Linked DNA regions of Mus musculus. The protein of the gene in region 1 interacts with the protein of each later gene in a pairwise test. Links are inferred from orthologs where the notes say so. Each region holds a gene or a part of one and is shown in the gene's direction. Other genes may lie near its edges.

Evidence for each region.
Region 2: the proteins of Mob3c (region 1) and Fam118a interact in binary tests that used the Homo sapiens proteins (3 or more experiments, as listed by UniProt). The link is inferred for Mus musculus from reciprocal best matches to the Homo sapiens genes MOB3C and FAM118A.
Region 3: the proteins of Mob3c (region 1) and Zbtb10 interact in binary tests that used the Homo sapiens proteins (3 or more experiments, as listed by UniProt). The link is inferred for Mus musculus from reciprocal best matches to the Homo sapiens genes MOB3C and ZBTB10.

Annotation. Positions count from the first base shown.
Region 1 is NC_000070.6:115,824,583-115,832,085, forward strand, and holds the start of Mob3c (MOB kinase activator 3C), read left to right. Parts: upstream 1-3,497; 5' UTR 3,498-3,659; intron 3,660-4,044; exon of another isoform or gene 4,045-4,144; intron 4,145-5,363; exon of another isoform or gene 5,364-5,429; intron 5,430-6,640; 5' UTR 6,641-6,689; coding exon 6,690-7,107; intron 7,108-7,503. UniProt on the Homo sapiens protein: May regulate the activity of kinases.
Region 2 is NC_000081.6:85,034,108-85,041,458, forward strand, and holds the start of Fam118a (protein FAM118A), read left to right. Parts: upstream 1-2,954; 5' UTR 2,955-3,137; intron 3,138-4,664; exon of another isoform or gene 4,665-4,845; coding exon of another isoform or gene 4,846-4,857; intron 4,858-7,351.
Region 3 is NC_000069.6:9,247,243-9,254,587, forward strand, and holds the start of Zbtb10 (zinc finger and BTB domain-containing protein 10), read left to right. Parts: upstream 1-3,324; 5' UTR 3,325-3,887; coding exon 3,888-4,838; intron 4,839-7,345. UniProt on the Homo sapiens protein: May be involved in transcriptional regulation.

The DNA of each region.
Region 1 (7,503 bases):
GGTCACTTGGGGCTTCCATCATGGAGGTAGGTGCCTGTGCTGTGCAATAGAAGAGGCCACACTAGATCCTTTTTGGCTCCCACCAACCTGAAGAGATGGGCCCTGTTGGAGCCCTCTGGAGCCACTTTACCATATTTAGGGCACTGTGAGAGGGAACAGTGACTCACCAGTATAGATGTACAGTGAGTACTGGACAGTTCCAGTATACCACCAAAGACGGTGAGCCTAATCCAAGGTCACACAATAGATACACAGTACAGCAGGAACTTGTCTGCATGCTCTGGGTCTTCTTAGCCTCAGACGGGCCTCCTGAAAGAATACAGCCCAGACTGAGAGTGGCAGAAAGGGGTATGGGCATTAAGAAACCCACACCATCTCTCTCTGCTGCCCCAACTCCAACTCTTCCTATCACCTGCCCTACAGACATCCAGGAGTCTGCACATGACCCTGGAACTTCAAAAATTCCTTCAGAATGGATCTCCAACATAGCCCACAGAGAGTCTCTTCATTCTTCACTAAATTCCTGCCTTTTCTATAAAACCTAGCTCAGAGGCACAGAAAATGACCATGTGCAAAGCCACAGAGGAAGTTGTATCAAATTCCAAAGAATCTCATAGACCAAGATCTCTGACCACAAGGCAATGTAAAGAGCAGTGAACAAGAAAAACATAACTCTTCCTAGGATGAGAAACTAAAGTCTCACTTCTAAATCATCCAAGAGTTAGGGAGAAGCAATTACAAATGGCATTTGTAAAATATTTAGCACAAAATGATAAGAGGAGCTTGAGCAGTTTCTAAGTCATTTCCTCTGTGACATCATCCCTTACCCAACACTGTCCTCCCAGCTCCGCATCTAGGGGGCTGATCTCTGGGCTGTGGCAACAGGTTCCCTTGTCCTTGGCTCTTAATGGGACTTAGCTACGGGGAACTTGGCCAGAGAAGAGAGGGAAATGAGACCCTTATTGACCAGTAGTTTTTCTCTTGACTGCTATGATCTGGGTATGGTCTCCACCTTAGGCCACAGAGCTAGCTATAGCCTTCTCATATCTCCTATTCCCAGTGTACCTCAGCTTAGGGTTGCTGACAGCTATCTGCAGTCCTTGCTATCTCATTGGTGGTATAGTCTGTACATGGCTTCCCTACAACTAGTTACATCTATATGCAGTGCCACTGTTAAAGTCTCCTCAAAACAGGGTGCTCTGGGTTGCCTGTGAATATCCCCACCCTTGCCTAGCATTGGACCATCAGTGCATTATGTACCCCACTTCTATCTCTGAACGACTAAGCTCTGACATGGTTACCTGCATATGTTGTGTTGCAGCTGCTGATCTGTCAGCACCTGAAATCAGTGACTGATTCATCATCTTAATCTCAGCACACTGTCACACTCAACAAAAATGCTCTGATAATTATATCAAATTGACAGTATGTCAAATGTGAATTCCATCAACATGTAAAAGTTTATAAGAAATTTTATGCTGGAGAAGAAATAAGTCCTTACGGGGCTGGAGAGAGGGCTTAGTGGTTAAGGGCACTGACTGTTCTTCCACAGGTCCTGAGTTCAATTCCCAGTACCCACATGGTGGCTCACAACCATCTATAAAGGGATCTGATGCCCTCTTCTGGCTTGCATGTATGTGTACATGCAACAGAGCACTCATACATAAATAAATTTAAAAGAAAGGAAGAGAGAAAGAGAGGAAGATAGAGAGAAGCCCCTAGTCAAAGATGAGTCCTCAGTTCTAACCTAAAATTCTTTTTTAAAGAGGATTTATTTACTTTATGTATATGAGTACACCATTGCTCTTTCCAAACACACCAGAAAAGGGTGTCAGATGGTTTTGAGCCACCATGTGGTTGCTGGGAATTGAACTCAGGACCTCTGGAAGAGCAGTCAGTGCTCTTAACGGCTGAGCCATCTATCCAACCCCTAACCTAAAATTCTTAAGGATCTAAGTGTGTTCTCATGTGGTTGAGAAAGCAGACCCAGAGCCAGGGAATCCAATGGAGCAGTTGTGTCTCAGTATAAAGCCTCAGGCTCCAATGTCTCCGCAGTCACTCCTTCTCGCTTTCATGTCCTCCGGGATGTCTTCGGCAGCCCAGCTGCCTGCCTTGGCCTTCTGTGGTACTTACTTTTTATGCTGTAACAAAATACTAAGGAAAAGCTTTTTGTTTTGGCTCACAGTTTGAGAGTGCAGTCCACCATGGTAGGGAAAGTATGTCAAGACAGGCTCTAAGCTGTGACAGCAAGAGTCTGGAACAGTGGTGAAGAAATGGAGGTGGATGGACACCTGTGCTCTATTGGCTCCCCCACCCTCACCCACCTTTCTGTTAGTTTAGTTCAGGATGGCAGGAGACACATTCAAGGAGAGCCAGTCCTCCTCAGTTAAACAACCCCTTGGGAATACACACTCCCAGAGAGGCGACTCCTTGGTAGTTCCGAAGCTAGTGAAGCTAACAATGAAGGTTAACCATAGCACTCACCTAGTAGAACTCTGTCTTCAACCTCCTCACCCTAGGCAGATCCTGCAGACAGGTTCCTGGGGCCAAGCCATGGTATGCATTGAGCACTGATGTGGGATAGCAGCCTGTTTCCAGGGGAGGAATCTAGGTAGAAGAGTGGGTAGTGTAGATCAAGTATGCAAAGGTTTGGAGCCAGATGGAACAGGCTGGGAGAGAAGCCATTCTAAAGAACAACAGAGACAAAGGAAGATAGGAAATGGGTAACTTTGGATGGTGTGAGAGTCTACAGAACCAGAACCAGGTGCAAGGAAGGCGAGGTCTTCTTTGAACATTCTTTGGGAATGTTTCTGTCTGGACTGACCCAGTCCACGGCTCCCATACGTGTGCTATTCATTTAAGTGTTTGGTTGTTTTGGTTTGGTTTGGTTTGGTTTTGGTTTTGGTGTTTTGTTTTGTTTTGTTTTGTTTTGTTTTGTTTTGTTTTGTTTTTAAGAGAGAGAGAGACCATCTTACCACCTAGCCCTGGCTAGCCTGGCTGGCTAGCAGCCTGGAACTCAAAGATTTGCCTGCCTCTACCTCGCTAGTGTTGAAATTAAAGACATGCGCCATCCACCAGCAGCAGCCTCCAGTGGTGGGTTTTGAGTTGCTCTGTATGGCAGTGGACTGAAGCTGAACACATTGGCTGCTAGGAACTTTTATTGAATTCAAAGACAAGTGAAGCTCAGATAACTGCAGGAGGGCTAGGAAACCATTCAAACCACAGCGGTTTTTCTTTCTGCTTCAGGCGGAAGCTAAACTTGTTCCCATTCTACAGCCTATGAATCTGAGGCTATCTCCTTAGGGAAGATCCAGGCGGTCCTTTGGGGCGGCTCCTCAGTTAGTCCTTTGCCCTCGGGGAGACAGCGAGCCCGATCGGACTTCCCACTTCCCGGAAAGGCTAAAGAGAAGAGTAAGTATCCTGGGACGGGGGAGTCCCTTTCCCCGCCCCTCCCCGCCCCGTGGCCGCGGCGTGGCTGAGCCTGGGGCGGAGCTGGCGTCTCCTCGAGCACTGGCGGCGGGACGGCGGCCGCGGCCCAGATCAGACTGGTGGGTAGACGCTGAGACCCGCACGGCGGGATCACAGGCCGGAGGACGACCGGCGCGTTGCGGTGTGGCCGCAGGGACAGAGACCCGGAGCTGTCCACTCAGGCGGAGCGGGTGAGTGAGCGCCGCGTCTCCGCGCCCCCCAGGGCCCAGTCTTGCTTCCACTTTTAGTTCTTCTTGGTCCTCGCGTGGCACCTTCTGGAAGCGACTCCGGCCCAAAAGCAGGCTGGCCACAGTCCTCAGCCCAGGGTCCGAGGCTCTCAGTGTCCGAAGTCCGGGGTGGGGGTGGCGGTAGCTGGCGGTGGTGGGGGGCGTGTCTTCAGGAGCGGAAATGTCAGGCTGGCTCCTCTGGGTCCTAGGACCTGTTTGGCCCTAACAGCTGAAGCTAAGGGGAGGTTCTTAGGAGCTCGCGGGAGGTAGGGGCGGGTCTGGCTGGACAGCGCTGCGTCTGTCGCTCCCTCTTTCTCTGAGAATCTCAAACTTAGATCTTGTCCCGCAGGGCGTGCTAGGCTAGATTCTGAGTTCAAACTGGGACCATCTTCTGGCTGATTCTAAGCCAGACTAAGGAAGGAGCAGGTGTGTCCCTGGCAGGGGACGAGGTAAGACAAACAGGCAGTGTCAGTCAGCCTGTGCTCTTCATCTAGGAAGATTAAATGCTTGGTCACGGAGTAAGCAAACCACTGACCACCTACCTAGTAATTAAAGTGGGGGGTCCACAGGGAAGAGGAAGAGAGGCTCCGTGTGAGGCTGGGAGAGGATAGTGCTAACAGACGGGATGCCCTCTTAGCTTACCTTCCGTACTCACCTCCAAGTTTACTCTTTCTAGGAAAAGTCCTGGGGCCTAAAGTTCTATACTAAGGAGGTGGGGCCTCTCTACTCCCTTCCTTCACAATTATCTATATCAGGCCAGTGGCCAGACAGCAGGAAAGGGACACTTTGTACCTTGTCATAGGCTGAGTCCCTTTTTATACCAGTCCCCTACTTCTAACTTGCTGTGCAAATTCAGGCTCCTCAAATCCTCCTCCTAGGCCTCAGTTTCGCCATCTGTTCATGTGGGACGTACCACTTGACCTCTCAGCTATCCCAACGTGTGTGTGTATGTGTGTGTGTGTGTGTGTGTGTGTGTGTGTGTGTGTGGTGCTGTGGGTATATGAAGATGGGCATGCAGAGATGGAGGCCCAGAGCTGATATCAGTTCTTTCCCCCTCACTTTTCATTTATTGAGAGGCAAGATTTACTTTCAAAACTTAATTACATTTATTTATGTGTGTCCACACACTTGCTCATGCATGCACGTATGAGCTCGGGAACACACACATTTATGTGCGCATTACAGTGCACATGTGGAGGTCAGAGACAGTTTGTGGGAGTGCTCTCCTTCCACCATGTTGGTCCCAAGAATCAAACTCAGGCAAGTTTACCCACTGAGACATCTCCCCAGCCAACTCTAAGACTCTAGAGTCTAAGCTAAAGCCTAGCCACCAACTTAAGTCCTGACGGAGAGGGGTAGGAACAAGCAGTCAGAGAAGCCACACACAAGGTTGGGATCTGGAGGAAGCTGCCAAAGAAGGGATCATTCGGTCAGATAGAAAGAGAAAACAGAAACTGACCAGCAAAAGACACACAGGCAGGACAGTGAGGACATGTTTAGGGATCAAGAAGAATCCCAGGGTGGCTGCTGGAGGCCGGTGGGTCAGGAAAGGTAGGCTGTGGAATTGAAAGGCAGAGTGAGAGAATCTGTAACAATCAATCAGTAATGGGGAGGCCAAAGGAAAGCGGAGGCCTCAGAAATGCCTTATCCCCTCCCTTTCTTCCCCAGTCCTGCCCCAGCAGTTATCAATGAAAAAGGAAACTTGCTTCAAAGTTGAGTCAGAGGCAGTCAGAGGTAAGGATAAGCTTTCTCTGCCACTGTCTCAAGCCTCATTCAGTGTGAGGCTCAGGGCTCAGACTAACCAGGGCTGGGGGCAAGCCAGAATTTAGCATGGAACTTGAGCTTAGTTTATAAGTCTGTGTTCAGGGTCCGTGTTCAGTCTGTGGCTGTTGCAGTCTTGGCCATTGCCTGGATCTGCGTCCTCCAATAGCTCATGTATATTGGTGCGCGAGATGAAATGCCTGAGATGCTCAGACACCTACCTGTAGGGTGTTCAAGGATTCGCATGGACTAAATCCATGGTGATGCAAGCAAGCTAGTTTTGAAGCAGGGACAAGATCCCAGGACTTTGGGAGACTCTGGTGGATGCTCCCTGAAGTCTGTGCTGAGTCTGGGATCCTTCTATTCTAAGAGGTAACGCAAACATGCAGAAGGACAGGTAGGGTGAGTCTGGCTGTTCTACCCCAGCCCCCAGTGCTAGGTGCATACATAGTAGGCATGCTGAAAATCCATGGAGTGTTGGGTGCAAGGGGAAGGTCAGCGGCTCATACTGTTTGGGAATTGAAGGAGGGGTTAGCTTTGAGGAAAGGAACTCTAGTGTCTGTCAGAGGAAGTAACACTGTTCTGGGCCTGCCACCCTCCTCTTCCTGCAGAGCCTGCAGCCACACTTAAGGCCACTCAGCTGGCCTTGTGAGGGCCCTTTCCTCTTTCAGTGTAAAGAAAACGGAAAAGACATTTTTGGTAGAAAAGTCCCTTCTGTTCCCTGGGAATCCCCGGTGGCCAGATGGACTTCGGGATATCCCAGAGGAACTCAAAGTCCACCCCCCTCTCAAGTACAGCGCAGCCAGGCTCTCTCACTACACAGATGGCCTATGGGGCTTCCAGAGGATACCTTGTCTGGGGCCTGCAAAACCCTCTGTCACTTCTGTAAAGCTCAACAGTAAGTCCTGTAAGCACCGGTTTGGAGCCCAGGGCACACCCTCTGCAAGATTTCAAGAAAGCAGGGAGGAAAGGAAGCAGAAAGAAAGGCTTGTGGCGCTGCTTCAGGGGTGGGGTGTGCGGCTAAAGTAGACCACAAAGGATTTGACGCTGCTGGGGATGAGAGTTTCATGGAGGTAAAGAAACTGTCCCCGGGCTGACAGCTTAGAGAAAAATGATGTGTTGGGAAGTCAAAACCCACTTTCTAAGGCCCTGACCACTACTTCCCCTGCCCCTGTCTCTGGCAGGTCATCTTCAAGTCCCTGTGCCGAGAGATCCAGCTGCACCCGCCTGGCCATGGCACTGTGTCTGAAACAGGTGTTTGCGAAGGACAAGACTTTCCGGCCCCGGAAGCGCTTCGAGCCTGGCACACAGCGCTTTGAGCTATATAAGAAGGCACAAGCTTCACTCAAGTCCGGCCTGGACCTTCGGAGTGTGGTGAGGCTGCCGCCTGGGGAGAGCATCGATGACTGGATCGCTGTGCATGTGGTGGACTTCTTCAACCGTATCAACCTCATCTATGGCACCATGGCTGAGCACTGCAGTGAGAGCAGCTGCCCAGTCATGGCTGGTGGGCCCCGCTACGAGTACCGCTGGCAGGACGAGCGTCAGTACCGAAGGCCCGCCAAGCTCTCAGCACCCCGCTATATGGCATTGCTCATGGACTGGATCGAGGGTCTCATCAATGATGAGGATGTCTTTCCTACACGTGTGGGTGAGCACTGATGACTGGAGAGGTAGCCTAGCCAGGGAAGGTCCTTCCCATATTGTGGAAGAGGAAACCGGTTGAGGCAGCATCTTGGTTATGATCAAACATTTAACAAGGACTATCTAATTCCCATTTGGGGCACCTCGTGTCTAAAACATGAGTGTTTCACTGTGAACTATCCCAGCATGTCACAAACCCCATTTTTCCACTCTCCAGAACAAGTGATATATTGTTGCGCTTGGGCTGATCTTGCTTCCAGCCTCCCCAGAGTCCCCTCTGAATCCTGGCTTCAGGGACAGGAAGGATTGGAAGCTGGATTGGCCCAAAATTTTTGGTATCTTTTCCACAGACTAGTTGGGTCCAGCTGGACTTGGGCAGGTAGGGTGTGGATAGGAGATGAAT
Region 2 (7,351 bases), on another chromosome or scaffold:
TTGCTCAGGTTTCAGTGTTAGAGAGCCTGGGGCAGAGCTTGCTGCCCTATCGTCCTGCCACTCCCACTGCTGCTGCCTGCCACCTAGCTGTTCCGGAGCTATCACGTGTTCACCTGCAACCTTACTCCAAGATGATTTGGCGGGAATCGGGCCCCTTCCCCTGCTTCATAACTGAGTGTCAGAAATAATAAAATTGAACCTTGATCAGACTGCCTGTCTTGGTCCCCCCCCCCCCCGCATGCGCGCGCATACATGCCGCCTAGCCCCCCTCTTCTCTTCCAGGTTTCCAAGATGCCTTTCCAGACTAGAACCTAGGCATGTGAGCCACTGGCTGAACGAAACACAGGCCTTTAATCCCAGCACTTGGGAGGCAGAGGCAGGCAGATTTCTGAGTTCAAAGCCAGCCTGGTCTACAAAGTGAGTTCCAGGACAGCCAGAGCTATACAGAGAAACCCTGTCTCGAAAAACCAAAAATAAATAAATAAATAAATAAAGCATTAGCTTCATCTCTGGTGGGCGTGTGTGGGTGTGAGGGGGTGACAATATGTTGTCGTGGGACACCTGTTGTGTCTTTTCTACCACCCTAGCATTTCTCACTGAGTCTGGCAGTTCTTTCCTTTCTGGTTGTGCAAAGTTCTTTCTGTAGCAAACCAGACAGCAGCACACTGAAGCAGCTTGACTGACCAGTTAAGTCCCTGTGTGTGTGTGTGTGTGTGTGTGTGTGTGTGTGTGTGTATCCATGGCATTACTGTGGAGATCTGAGGACAAACTTCTCTGTGGGTTTGGGTCAGGGTCCGTCTTATGTTGTTCACAATGTCATGAGCCAGACTCGCTGGCTTTGGAGCTTCTGGAATTCCTCGGGTCTTTGCCTCTCATCTCACTGTGGATGTGCCACCATGCCTGACTTTTAGGTGGGCTCTGGGGATTCAAACTCAGGTCTTCATGACTGCATGGCAAATGCTTTACCCACAAGGAGACATCTCCCCATTCCTGACTCTGTTTTCTGAATCTGTGGGGGAAAAAAGTCACAATCCTTACTGCACAGGGTTGCTGTGAGAGTGAAGGAAGAGGTGTCACAGGGAAGTTTAGCACATAGTTTGTGCTTTGTAATCATTACTCTCGCAGACTTCCACAGGCACTTGCATTTCAAACAGACTGACATCTCCTGGGGTAGCCACTGCTGCTTGCCTCCAAGGCCACCTTTGGTATAACAAAGAAAGGAATCTGGTCTGTTGAACTCATGCCATGAAACATATTTTGTGCACACACCTATTCATGAATTTGTTCAGCCTACCTGAATGACGCACTGCAGGAACACACTGGCGGGCGCTACATTATCTACTCAGAATGAACACAGTGGACAGGGATTAAAGCAGTTTTCTGAGACTCCCTGTAAATCAGGGTGATCCTAGTACTGCCAGGCTGGGTAGAAAGTGTTCATCTGTCTCTCTTGGATACAGAGGAGGGCATTGTTTCTAAGGTGTCCCTTTTGTCCCTTCTGTGGGTTTGCCCTTGTAAAGCTGCTTGGCTGAATGGGCAGAGACTTCCGATCTGTGTTGACCTTAGATGGAGAGTTGGGATTACTGAGGCTCTGCCACACTGGATCTTGGAGGGCATCCAGTGTGTGGGTGGTGTGCTGTGGGTTCTAACTCCTCAGCTCCTAGCCTACAGTCTCCTTGAACAACTTCCTTCCTGTAACCCGGGAACTTCTCCAGTGTCACAGGTTCAAGTCTTAGGACCCTTTATGGAAGCAGGAGCTTGTGAACTAAATTGCATCACATGTAAATTGTTCAGTCTAGTAGTGGGAAGCCCAGACCTTTGAAGCCAATGCATGGTTGGTATTGCCAATACAACTTCTCTGGGCTTCCTCCTCTCCTGCTGTTAATTGCAGTAAATGGGGTGCCATCCTCATGGGAGATGTCCTGAGGACTGAAAAAAACATTTTCTCAAAGGCCAGCTACTTAGTAGGTACCCAGACTCAGGTGTTCAAACCACTGTTCTGGGCTCTGGTGCCACAAATTTCAAGCTGGCCAGGTAGTGATTTTGTATACCTTACACCCACAGAGTAGGTGGAACTCTGTGAGCTTGAGGCCAGCCTGTTCTACAGCGCTAGTTCTAGGACAGCCAAAGCCACATAAAACCCTGTCTCAAAAAGAAAAGAACAAAAACCCAGGTTTTATTACACATGCATTTTTCTTATGGGGCTGAAGGGATGCTTACAGCAAACCCATGTAGAAAAAAAGGAGCCAGAGGTAGAGGAAGTCCAAATAACTTGCCTGGGCAGGCCGACCTGGGAAGATGAGGAAGAGGAAATAGGCTTTGATCCATCCCAGCCTTATTTAGAGAAAGGAGAGGTGTCATTGACTTTTAAAGGTCCTCATGCTGAGTGCTCCAGCGCAGAGCCCACCCACGTGTACTCTCGAACGTTCGGGGTGGGCACTGAGTTCACCCGATTAACAGGTGCTGAACCTGGGTACATATGCTCATTAGTCCCTGGATCTAAGCCCAAGCTAGACGTGTCCAAGAGGCACATCGGAAGGGCCAGACGCCTACTCTGACACGTGGTAAGGGAGTCGGTCACTGCGGGGAGGACGTGAAGCATGCTAGGCTGGGGAAGGGCACAGGCTGTACAGCCTGTGGCTTGAGGTAGATGGAGTGAGCCCGGCTGGAAGTGGTTGCCCAAGGGTGGTTCCGGCCGAGCTCAACGCCTTCTGCGTTTCCGCGGGGCTGTCCAGGCGTGCAGATGGGGAAACTGAAGACAAAACAGCGCTGGGAAGACTGGCCGCGAGACATTCAGTCTCTTAAGACCAGGCTCATCGTGGACACGACAGCACAGTCCGTGGGTCCAATCGTAGCTTCTCTTGGGGGCGGGACGCGTCGTGGCCACGCCCCTTCGGGCGGGGCTTCCCGTTGCCGCGGGGCCGTTGATTTCAGGGCGGAACGTTCGCGCGGGCAGTGCGCGCGCGCGGGGGGAAGGCCTTGAGAGAGCGCTGCGGATTCGGCTGGGCAGGCTCGGCGTGGTGCACGCGCAGCGCCATCCGGCGCAGCGCCCGGCGGCTCCACCCAGCCGAAGGGGCGCGACCCGGGTGGGAGGCGGCGAGAGCGCGAGCGACACTGGTGTCTCCGTGGCACGGCAGGTGAGGCGGCGGGTCGGGGCTGGGTGCCAGCGCCTCGCGTCTCCCCAGCCCTCAAAACCCGCCTAGGGTGCCCAGGACCCTAGTGCCCTCTGATGCGCTGGGGACCCTGCCTCCGACATCCCCTGGGCTGCCTGGGTCCGCGGCCACCTGTGGACCTGATTACCTTCCACACCTAGAAAACCTCACCATCCTCCAGATTTCCCTCAGACTCAGCACACAGACCTCGGCGGCTTCAGGGCCCGAGACCGTTATATCTTCTCCAGAAGTCCAACAGATCCCCTCTGGTCCAACTCCAAAGCTTCGGGTCTCCAGGCCCATAGACTCCCATCCTTTCTTGGGTGGAGAGGCCTTCAGACCCACCTATCCCTAGAGACCTTCCTTCCTAGGATCTCCTGCCTCCTGCTCTCTATCTTGAGGTCCACAGAGCTTTTCAGCTTCTACTAGAGTGTTCTTGAGGTTTGTGAATTGTAAATAGGGATAAAAGTAGCACCATCTGATAGGTCAACAGAGGACCACGCATAACCAAAGAGGAGGTGGGATGTGGGGCTTCGCATGTGCGTTTGTTTTCACCGTGCAGTGGAGGCTGGTGTGGGACCGACTCATTGTGGAGAATGGCAGCGCTGGGAGTAACGGGAGTTGGGCAGTCAAAGCTCTTTTAGATTGTGCCCTCAATGTGTGGTAGTTTCTGTTACCACACACAGCCCACCAAAACCAGTCCAGGAAAGTAAAGCTTGATTACAGTGGTCTAATTGATGGGACGAAGGTAAACTAAAGGTCCATCTTTCTGGGATCCTGATTTAAGGGTGGCTGTCTTCCCTGAGGTGGAGGTTTGGGGCCAAATGGTACACATCTTATCATTTTCAGTCCTGGAAATCTCTAGAACAAGGATTATCCTTTCCTCGGGCTATTGTCATTGATAAACAGTCCTTGACTTGCTTGCTACACCGGCAGTCTGGTACCCTGAGGTAAAGCCCCAAGAAAGAACATGGCCTGATGATTGTGAAAGGCAAGGGCCAGGCATTTTTAAAGAGGGAGTGGATACCCTCTGCGGCCCAGTGCTGGGTGCTGGAGGCAGATGACACAGCTCCAGCTGGTAAGGGTTGGGAGGTGGGGATTAGCCAAGTTGGTGGTACTTAAGAGTGCCTTCAAGGCAGCTGGGGCTTGGGGGTTCTAGAGAGTAGCTGGGGTGAGGGAAGGGGATGCAAGAGGTAACAGGGAAGCAGACTCTTAAAGGTTGAGGAGTTCTGAGGATCACACCCAGGCCTTATGTTCACAGGTCAGACTGACTGGTGACTGAGCCATGTCCCTAGTCCTGGCTTACATATTTTTTCCAGTGGTCACTTTAGCTGTGGTGGAGCGACTTTTTTTTGTAGGCCAAAAGACCACAAAAGGTAGGAATGACTTGGACCCAGGCCGTGTGGTTCAGTAGCTCTCTAGAGCTTGACTGAGCTGAAAGCCCAGGCTTCGAGCTTGGGGCACTGACACGGGAACTTTTTTTAGGTGAGATTTTTATCTGTTTGCTTATAGGTGGTACTCACCTTAGCGCCTCACCAGGGTGTCTGCTATCCAAGTATAAGACACACTGCTTCCGGTAGGGGGAAGAGGGACTGAAGTCAGCGGGGGAGTCCTGAAGGAAAGGGGAAGGTACTGAAGGAGACGAGTTCGGATGTGTACCTGGAGGGGTTGAAGCTGCAAGCAGGAGGTGTCGATGTCCAGACAGGTGAGCACTGGAAGGTGTGACATGCACTACTGTAGGCAGTGAACTAGGGATTATAAGGAATAATGGATGAAGCCGGATTTGGGAGAAGGAGAGGGAAATGGAGATAGCCTAGTGCAGGAGGGCTTTCTGTGGCTACCACAGCCACACGTGACTGATAGGTACTTAGAATATACCTACAGTGGCAGGACTGGCATTTAATGGGTTAAATCTAGGGGTCCTGGGAAGCATGTAGGCTTCTCTGATATTATCCCATGGAATGCCTCTGGCCACCTGGCTTGGACACACTCTTCCTTTTTCACGTGTGAGGAACAGTCTCAGGGTGAGCCACGCAAGGCTGTAAGCAGCACAGCAAACTGTTGTTGGCTGGGCCCTTCTGGGTTGTGTACCTGTCTTTCCTCCCCAGCCTTCTGCCTGGAGACATGGCCATACCTCTTGTTTAGCTCTCCTTATCAATTCTGCTAAAGTTACTGTGTTCTGCAGGCAGCTGTGTGACAGAGCTGTCGGGGTTGGCTGTGTGTGTGTATCTGTGTCCATCTGTCTGTCTGTCCATGTTCTGGGCTTTCTGATGGTGTGTTTCTGGAGAATGGCAGAAGTCCCACAGGCAAAACGTAGCAGCCAACCTTGGGGCCCAGGATGACCTAGGAGCGTGACAGGGAGGCCTGGGGCTGCAGGGCGTAGGTAGGCCTGAGCTGAGAGTGAAAGGAATCGGGGTAAGCCAGAAGTGAGTTAGAGCCAGAAGTGGGAAGATGCTGGCCAAATTACTGGAGTCTCAGCTTTCACCTCAAAGAAATGAAGCCATTTGTCATTATAGAAACCCTAGATCCCTCCAGCTCTAAAGTTTTGTAGTGGTTTTTTTGTTTTTGTTTTGTTTTTAAGATTTATTTACTTATATGAGTACACTGTAGCTGTCTTCAGACACACCAGAAGTGCTCATCAAATGGTTATGAGCAACCATATGGTTGCTGGGATTTGAACTCAAGGACCTTTGGAAGAGCAGTAAGTGTTCTTAACCCCTGAGCCATATCTCTAGCCCAAGTTTTGTAGTTTTTCTATAGAGCATCTCTTCTGCATCTTCTGGGTTTGGGGGTGGGGGTTCACTTGGGCTCAGGTTGGGGTGTTTTTTGTTTTTTTTTTTTTAACCTCCACTGACTTATAAAGTGATGTAAAGACCTGCCTTACAGGACTTGTCCCCCCTGATGGGCAGACTGAAACAGTGCCGTGGGTGTCAGGTTTCTGGAAAAGCTTCCTATGTGTCCCTTGGCATCCCTGCACACTGGTGGTAGAACAGGGGCAGGACTGCAGCGTGGTGGTGGCTGCCTCTAGAGCTGACTGAGTTGGCACTGAGAGCTGTTGGCACTTGACTGAGAGTGTGCATGCAGAGTGCTTTGTGTGATTTTCCCTAAAAGCAGCAATTTTAATTCTTTTGGGATAGAATCTCATGCGCCCAGGCTAGCCTTAAAATTCTACATAGCTAAGTTTCACTGAACTTCTAATCCTCCTGCCTCTATCTCCAAAAATCTGGGATTGCAGATGTGTGCTTTCATGAGTAGTGCTATACTTTGAAGGAACTATGGTCTTAACTGTTTCAGTTGTGCTTGTGGGGTTTGCTTTTTCTTTTTTAGAATGTGTATTATAGCCATCATCATCGTCAAAGTCATCCTGTGTATGATATGTGTGAATGTATGTAGCACACAGTATGTGCAGAGGTCAGTGGACAACTCTGTGCAGCACAAGAACTAGGACCTAAGTTTGAATCCCCAACACCCTCTTAAAAACTGTGTATGGCTATGGAGGCCCCTACACCTTTGTAGGGGGCAGAGACTGGGAGAGCCCTGGGACTTGATGGTCAGAGAGAGCCCCTGTCTAATTAGGAAGGTGGCAAAGGGTCCTTTTCTCCTGTCCCATCTGACTGACTGCAGGTGTGTTCAAAGCCTGCATTTGGTTAGTGAGGTGCTGGGGATGGAACACAGGGCATTGTGCATGCTAGGCAAACTACTGCTCACCTACATCTCCTGCCATCTGCCGGTGTGTCCTCAGGGTCCTGCTGCCCACTTGCTTTGTAAGAGTGATGCCTGCCCCTCCTGCTGGGAGAAGGAAGTGGGTTTTGAGTTTCTGTTCACTTTTCCTTCAGTGGGATTGAGCTGCAGCCCGTGACTCTACATCTTCTTGCAGGATTTTTATGTATGAGGTGTTGGGAGCAAGGGCTTTGAGCCTGCTGGGGAAGCCTTGTGCCACAGAGCTGTGACTTCCCCTCTCCTGCATCTTTGTACTCAAAGCCTGTACTTTGGTGTAGCACTAGCTGGCCTTGAACTCTCAGAGATCCATTCCTCTGTCTCTCAAGTGCTGGGATTAAAGGTGTGTGCTCCCATGCCTGGCAGAAGTTGAGTTTTTGAAAAGCATAATTTCCCACAGATTTGGATCCTGTTCATTCTGCTTGCTCACTTTTAATAACCAGCCCCTCCTCCCTTCTTTATGACTGCCTTCATGACTCTGA
Region 3 (7,345 bases), on another chromosome or scaffold:
TTTAAAAGTTACTTTTATGTGTGTGTTGGGGGCGGGTTGTCTGTGGAGAACAGAAGAGGCAACTGGATCCCCTGGAGATGGGCTTCCTGGGAGTCCTGAGCCGCACAGTGGCTCCCCATCCTGAGTGTCACTCAATTAGCTCATGTTTAAAGATAATTTCAGAAAGAAGCCATGTGGAAATTATTTAAATATTTGTCCATTAATTCATTTTTTGAGACAAGATCTTGTGTGGCTTAGGCTGGTCTAAAGCCTATAGCAGAGGCTAGTTTGAAATGATCCTCCTGCCTCAGCTTCCTCATTTCAGGGATTACAGTAATGTGCTACCATACCTAACAACAGTGTAGACCTATAAAACATAAGGAAGGATGTGCGTGTGAGGAAAGGCATTTACTCATTGTGAATGCCAAGTAGAACTTGAACTGTTTTGGTTGACTCGATTGCTATAAAAATACATAGGAAGCAGATTCTAGCCTAACTTAATATAGTTCCTATTCTACATTAATTAGGGATTCAAGCTTGAGATGAGGTAAGTTTATTAGTTTTTGAATAAAGCAGATGATATGAATAAATACAGATGACATTTCTCAATCTTAATCTTATAATTGATTGATGTCAGTAACCACTTTTTTTTTTTTAAGGGAAAGAGGCTGGGGTGGTTAAAATATAATGTATTTATTTGCAAAATGCTTAGAGTCTTAAAAAAAAAAAACACATTGAAAACCAAGCATGTCATTGTCACACTTTTCCATACTACAGCAGCCACAGCAGGCAGGTTTTCCTTCTTCCTCCAAGGTGTATGGCACAGAACTGTCTGAAAAATCACCAACCAGAACTCACCAACTCACTCTGAGGGCCTTTATCCAAGTACAGGGCCTACGGCACCTGATGGCAGGTGGCAGTACGGGTAGATGATAGGAAGACACCCCAAGTCAAAGCTTTTGGTGGCATGGAAGTCCCCTCAGTCAGCTCACCGAAATTATGTTGTCATAGGTGACAAGTTTACACAAGTAAACTCAAACTCACTTTAGAATTCATCAATTTTATTTCATATACAAAACTTCATTACACCAGGTACCAAAATTAAGGCGAATTAAGTCAAAGTGGCTTTGAAAAATCTAAATCGACACAGCTCAACACTCGTCTTGGGCTTAGTTCAATCAGAAGTGTTAAGGAAACTGGGCATGGGGCTCTCACCTTTAATCCTAGCCTGGACTAAGGCAGGATTGCTGTGAATTACAGGTAGCCTCATCTATACAGTGCTTTCTAGGACAACCAGGGACATAGAGTGAGACCTGTATAAACAAATCAAAAGTTCCATTGAGGTAAGTTGGGCATGGTGACAGACCCAGGCTGGAGAGTTCAAGGCCAGCAGGCTACATAATAATGCTGTCTCAAAAAAAAGTGTTAGCAAATATTAATTTATAACACTGAGAAAATGTGCTTTAAAAACTTGTGTGCATGGGCATTGTTCCTGCAGGTATGTCTGTCTGTGCACCATGTGTGCCTGGTACCTGAGCAAATCCCCTGTTGCTGCTATTACAGGCTCTGAGCCTCCATACACTTACACAGGCAGTCGCCATACACAGGCTCTGGGAACTTAACTCTTGAGTCCTCAGACACAACAGCCATCAATCTGAATTTTAAAACTTGAAAGATGAGAGACCACCATTTATCAACTGCTCTCTTCACTCCACTCCCACCCCAAAAGGGAAACTCCAGGTGGGTGGATGTCTGTGGGTTCAAAGCCACTCTTGCCTAGTGAGTTCCAGGACAGCTAGGGCTACATAGTCTTAAAAAAAAAAAAAGAAAGAAAGAAAGAAAGAAAGAAAGAAAGAAAGAAAGAAAGAAAGAAAGAAAGAAAGAAAGAAAATTAGCCGGGTGTGGTGGCACACGCCTTTAATCCCAGCACTTGGGAGGCAGAGGCAGGTGGATTTCTGAGTTCGAGGCCAGCCTGGTCTACAGAGTGAGTTCCAAGACAGCCAGGGCTACACAGAGAAACCCTGACTCGAAAAACAAAAACAAAACAAAACAAAACAAAAAATTAAGAAAGGCAGGGGGAAAAAAAACAGGAAAGAAAGCCTGAAATAGGCTCAAACATACGAATTTTTAAATTAAGCTTGTGCAACATGGTGGTTCACACCTGTAATACCAGAACTCGAGATACTGAGGCAGGATCTTTGTGTGTATCCCTGGCTGACCTAAAATGTAGACTAGGCTGGCCTTGACCCTGTTTCAAAAATCGCTCCCAATAAATAACAGATAAATCGACCTCACTTTGTGAATTAATGAGTGTAAACGTGCTAATGTTTTCCAAATAGAGCATAGTTAATGGGGAGGGTGAGTTTAAGGGTTCTTAATTGGCAAGGCCTCTTTCTGAAAAACAAAAACAAAAAAGTAAACTAATATAACTTAGGGAGGTTCATTTCCAGCTTAGACCGATGTAATCACTCTAAATTCCATACGCGATGCCAAGAGCTTTTCTCAAAATCCTAAAAATTAATTCTCATCTACACACCCTGTCTTCGGAGCTGCACTCCCTTCGCGGCCGCACGCGGCGCCCGCAGCAGCTGACTCCTCCCCGTTCATGGGGAAAACCCTGCCTAATATTTATAACGCTATGACATACTGTAATACTCACAAGGTGGTTGTAGAAGTATAAACACGACTGGAGATATCTGATTGGCTGCTGGTGATGTAACACCCATGTCAATACTTCCCACTGAACGCACGTGTTCGACCTTTTATTTAAATTTCCATTTCATCACAGCAATAAGACACTCGGGGCGGTGCATTTTCTGCGAAACGATCGTCGCCCGGGGCCAGAGGTGCTGCCCGGCGTACACAAGGAGCCCAAGGAGGTGTCCTCGCGAGGGAGGCACCGCCTGGTCCAGTCTTTTGTGCAGGAACAAAATAAGTTCACTTCCTCGGGCACGGCCACCCACCCCTCCCCCGGCAGATGACAGGGCCGGGCGCGCTCCCACCGCACTTACTCCTGGAGTCCCAGGTGAAGTCGTGGCGAGAGCCGGGGACCGTGCGCACGGGCGCGCCGCGGCGAGCCGGCCCCTGACACCCGCCAGCTGTTTGTCCTGGCCGAGCCGGCCCCGCCCCGAGACCCCAGCCCGTGCCCCGCCCGCTTCCTTCCCGTGGCCGCACCCCCGCCCGCGGGCCCGAGCGGCCGGCCCCTTTCCCGGTCCCCGGGCGCCCCCGGCCCAGCCCAGCCCGGCCCAGCCCGCCCCCTCCCCCGGCCGGCCCCCACCCTCTCCCCCTCCAGCGGTTACTGCTACCCCGGTGCATTGTGGGCGCACGGTCCGTTGTTCATTTGCCATTCGACCTCCGCCAGGGCCTGGTCGGACGGAAACGCTCCGCCGGCTTTATTGTCGGCTCGCTATGTGGCGGAGCCTGGCGGCTTAGCGCGCCTCTCGCGTCCGCGCCTCGGCAGCCGGCGGCGGCGACACGACTCCCCCCGAGGACGGAGATCTGTTGGCGGGCCGGTGTGTGCGCGCAGCGCTGAAGCGGGGCAGCGGAGGGGCAACCGCACTCCTCCTCAACTTCGAAGGCCGCACGCGCCCGGCTCGCCGCTCCGCTGCCCGCCCACCGCTCCGCGCGGGACGCTGCCCGGAGCGCGGCGGGGCGCGGGTGGAGAGGACGCGGCTGGGACGGCGGCGGCAGTAGACGCGTGCGGCGGCCCGGGAGCGAGCGCGAGCCGGCGGGAGGGTGAGGCCGGGCCGGCGGGAGCGCAGCGCAGAGCGGCGCAGCGCAGCGCCGGGGGCGGGGGCGGGGGCGAAGCGTTGGGGGAGCCGCGGCGAGCGCGCGGGACGCGGCCGGAGCCCGGGCGCGAGCCGAGGCACCGGGCGGCGGCGGCGGCGGCGGTGACCGCGGCGCGCGCCATGTCGTTCAGTGAGATGAACCGCAGGACGCTGGCGTTCCGAGGAGGCGGGTTGGTCACCGGCGGCGGCGGCCCCACGAACAATAACGCTGGCGGGGAGGCCTCTTCTTGGCCTCCGCAGCCGCAACCGCGACTGCCCGCGCCGCCCGCGCCGCAGCAGCCGAATGGGCGCGGGGCCGACGAGGAAATGGAATTGGAGGGCCTGGAGCCCCAGGACTCGGAGGCCGCCGCCGGCGCGGCCGCCGCCGAGGACGTCAAGGAGTTGCTGCTGCTCCCTCAGGACACGGGCGGCCCCTCCTTGCTGGGCGGCGGCGCGGGGGGCCCCCTGCTAGCGGAAAGGAACCGTCGGACTCTGGCCTTCCGCGGGGGAGGCGGCGGGGGTCTCGGCAACAATGGCAGCAGCCGCGGCCGCCCGGAGACCTCGGCGTGGCCCCTCAGGCATTTCAATGGGCGAGGGCCGGCGGCCGTGGATCCGGAGCTGGACGCGCTGGAGGGGAAGGAGTGGATGCAGGACGGGGCGTCCCTGAGCTACAGCACCGAGGAGGAGGGGGCGAGCCCGGGCGATGGCAGTGGGGCGGAAGGCGGCAGCTGCAGCAGCAGCAGGCGGTCGGGCGGCGATGGTGGGGACGAAGCGGAGGGCAGCGGTGTGGGAGCTGGCGAAGGAGAGACTGTCCAGCACTTCCCGCTCGCGAGGCCCAAGTCCCTCTTGCAGAAGCTCCAGTGCTCCTTCCAGACCTCTTGGCTCAAGGACTTCCCTTGGCTGCGGTACTCCAAGGATACCGGCCTTATGTTCTGCGGATGGTGCCAAAAGATCCCCGAGGATGGGGGCGGCGTGGACCTTACCCAGGTGGGGCATGATGAGCTTTCGCGAGGGACCCGCAACTACAAGAAAACCCTGCTCCTAAGGCACCACGTCTCCACCGAACACAAACTCCACGAAGCCAACGCCCAGGTACCGTAGATCCTGCCTTTGCTTTTCGACCACATCTTTTGGGAAAGGTTTATCAGTGGGGAAGACTAAAACTAAAGTAAAGAAGGGGGGAAATTAAGATCCTCCGGGGGAAGACTCACTTCGTTCCGATCGAGAGAGGTTCGCGAGAGCTTATGCGTAGGGGTTTAGAAAGCCTGGAAACAAAGTTTTCCAAAGTTGTGGATCTATTGGGGGAGGAGGGGTAGAAGGACAGTTTTCTAATGATATCGCTGGGTTTATCTTCTTTTTCGAGTTAGGGTTTGCCTGTGAGATTGAATCCGAGAGAGAGGCTGGGAGAGGTTGGAGATTTTAACCTTTGATTGACTTTCGGTCAAAAAGGATTTTTTTTTTTAAGTCAGAGGAGATTTTAGAACTGTCCCTTCTTGTGTTCGTAGACACTAAAGTACTAGAAGTAGCCTGAAGAATGGATTAAACAGTTTCCTTAAGCTTCGGTGCTACAGGCTGTCCACTCTTAAACTCGTGTCAGGTCGAGATAATGTGAAATATGAGAGGCTTATGCAAATGTACAGGAAGTTAGTTCAGTAGGGTAAATAATTTTACGATGTCCGTCTCTGTTAAACTTGTTTGGTATAATCATTGTACACTTTAGCTAGTTACTTACTGATATTTCTCTTCTGAGTGTATTATCCTTTTCAAAAACATGGTCGTGAATAGCTTATATGAAGGGTGTTAATCTTAGCTCTGGAAATGTTTAATGTGAAGTGATTTGGGCTTCATTTGCTCACTGGAAACCTAGTTACAGAGCAAGCCTACCTATGAGCTTTAGTCCCCCTCCCCCCTTTTTACAGGAGCCTGACCGTTTTGATAGCCCTTTTCAAGTCAAATAGCTGTTGGTCAGTCTTCCTTTTTATGACTCAGACAACCTGTGGTGGTGGGTGGAATTGATTCTTTTGTGTTGCTGACCGACACTCAGGTATTAGTACCTCACCATGGTGTTTATGGGAGCCATCCTGCTGCTCAGCACACTTACACTATAGTTTATTAGTCACACAAGTAACCCAGCTTAGAGAGGCTTTAGTTTTAAAAGCATGGGTTATTTTGTTTGGTTGGGTTTTTTTTTTTTCCCCCAGAAGGCAGGGAAATGGAGCTTGTTTGGGTTGAGTTTTTATTTGCACAAAATTTCCTAAATCTTAGAAAGGTCTCTCCCCTATCCGCCCCCCCCTTCTTTCTCTCCTCTCTAGGGTCTCTGGCTACCTTGGAGCTCTTAAGTATATAGACCAGGCTGGTTTCAAACTCACCGATCTGCCTGCCTCTGGAGTGCTGGGATTAAAGGTGTGTGCTACCACACCTTCTGAAGGTCACTTACTTTTAAGATGTAAAGCCCATTTAGTAAATTGCCTTAAACCCTGGATGACAGCCTGAGGCTAGTGCTTATAAAGACTTTTGTAATGGGGGAAAAAGTGAGCTTTGAGCAAATGCAGGTTCTGATCTCAGTTTTCTTTATCACTACCTTTGGAGTTTGTCCTGGAAGTTTGATAGGCCTGACACTTTTGTTTTAGCTGTATCAGACTCATTTACATTATCCAGGAAAGTAAATTTGTTTCCTTTTATAGAAGAAGCATTTCAGTCATTAAAGGGTTAAGGCTTTTCAGTCTTTAAGAGTTAAGTAATAAATACCTGGAAGTATTTAGTAAGATGATAGAAGCTGTGGCTTGTGAAAAATGGAAGGCTGAATTTTCCAAGTATTGGTATGTAAGTATTTTAGATTTTTTTAATTGGAATGAGTTTTTAAATCTAGTATTTAGAATATTCTGTTCTGTAGGCAAACATGAGTGGGACTAAAAATTAGCTGCTCAGTGATCCATAACTCAGAGGGGATTAGGTGGATAATCTTATGGTCCACCCTAGTAAATGGGTGTATCCTGCAGGCGTGTACCTAGGTCTCCAGAGCTCAGTTCTAGGGAAAAACCTTTTGTCAACTTGACTCTGAACTACCCTTTCCATTTCCCGACGACATGGTGGTTTTGTGTGAGGTAGGAGCCATCCCACTTTTTAAGACTTGGGTTAACGCCTTAAACTTGAGGAGTTATGTATTGGTTTCCTTGGTTGAATTTTAGGTGTTACCACTTCATCATTTATCTTCACTTGTGACTAACCTTTGTTTGAGGAATAGCTTATTCTTCCAAGAAACACCTGTAAAGTCTCTTTCCCTTGTTAACAGTGACCGGTTCCTAGCAGGATTTGATGGGGTGGGGGTTGTGTGGTTGTTGTTGCCCTGTAGCCTTTGGTTACCTTTAGGAGGCAGTGTAACATTCTGTAAGAACATTCTTGGGTCCTGGTCCTCTAACCGTTATTTTGTATCATGCTTATTTTATTATAGCTTACTCTTAGACAAGCGTGAAGACAGTGTCTTGTCCCCTGGTTGGCCTCATGCCTGCTTTGACCCTCTTACCTATTTCTCAATGTTTGGACTCCTGGCCCACCAGGCCCCAGTGAGGGTTTAACTAGTGTTGGGTAGCTGATCTGGT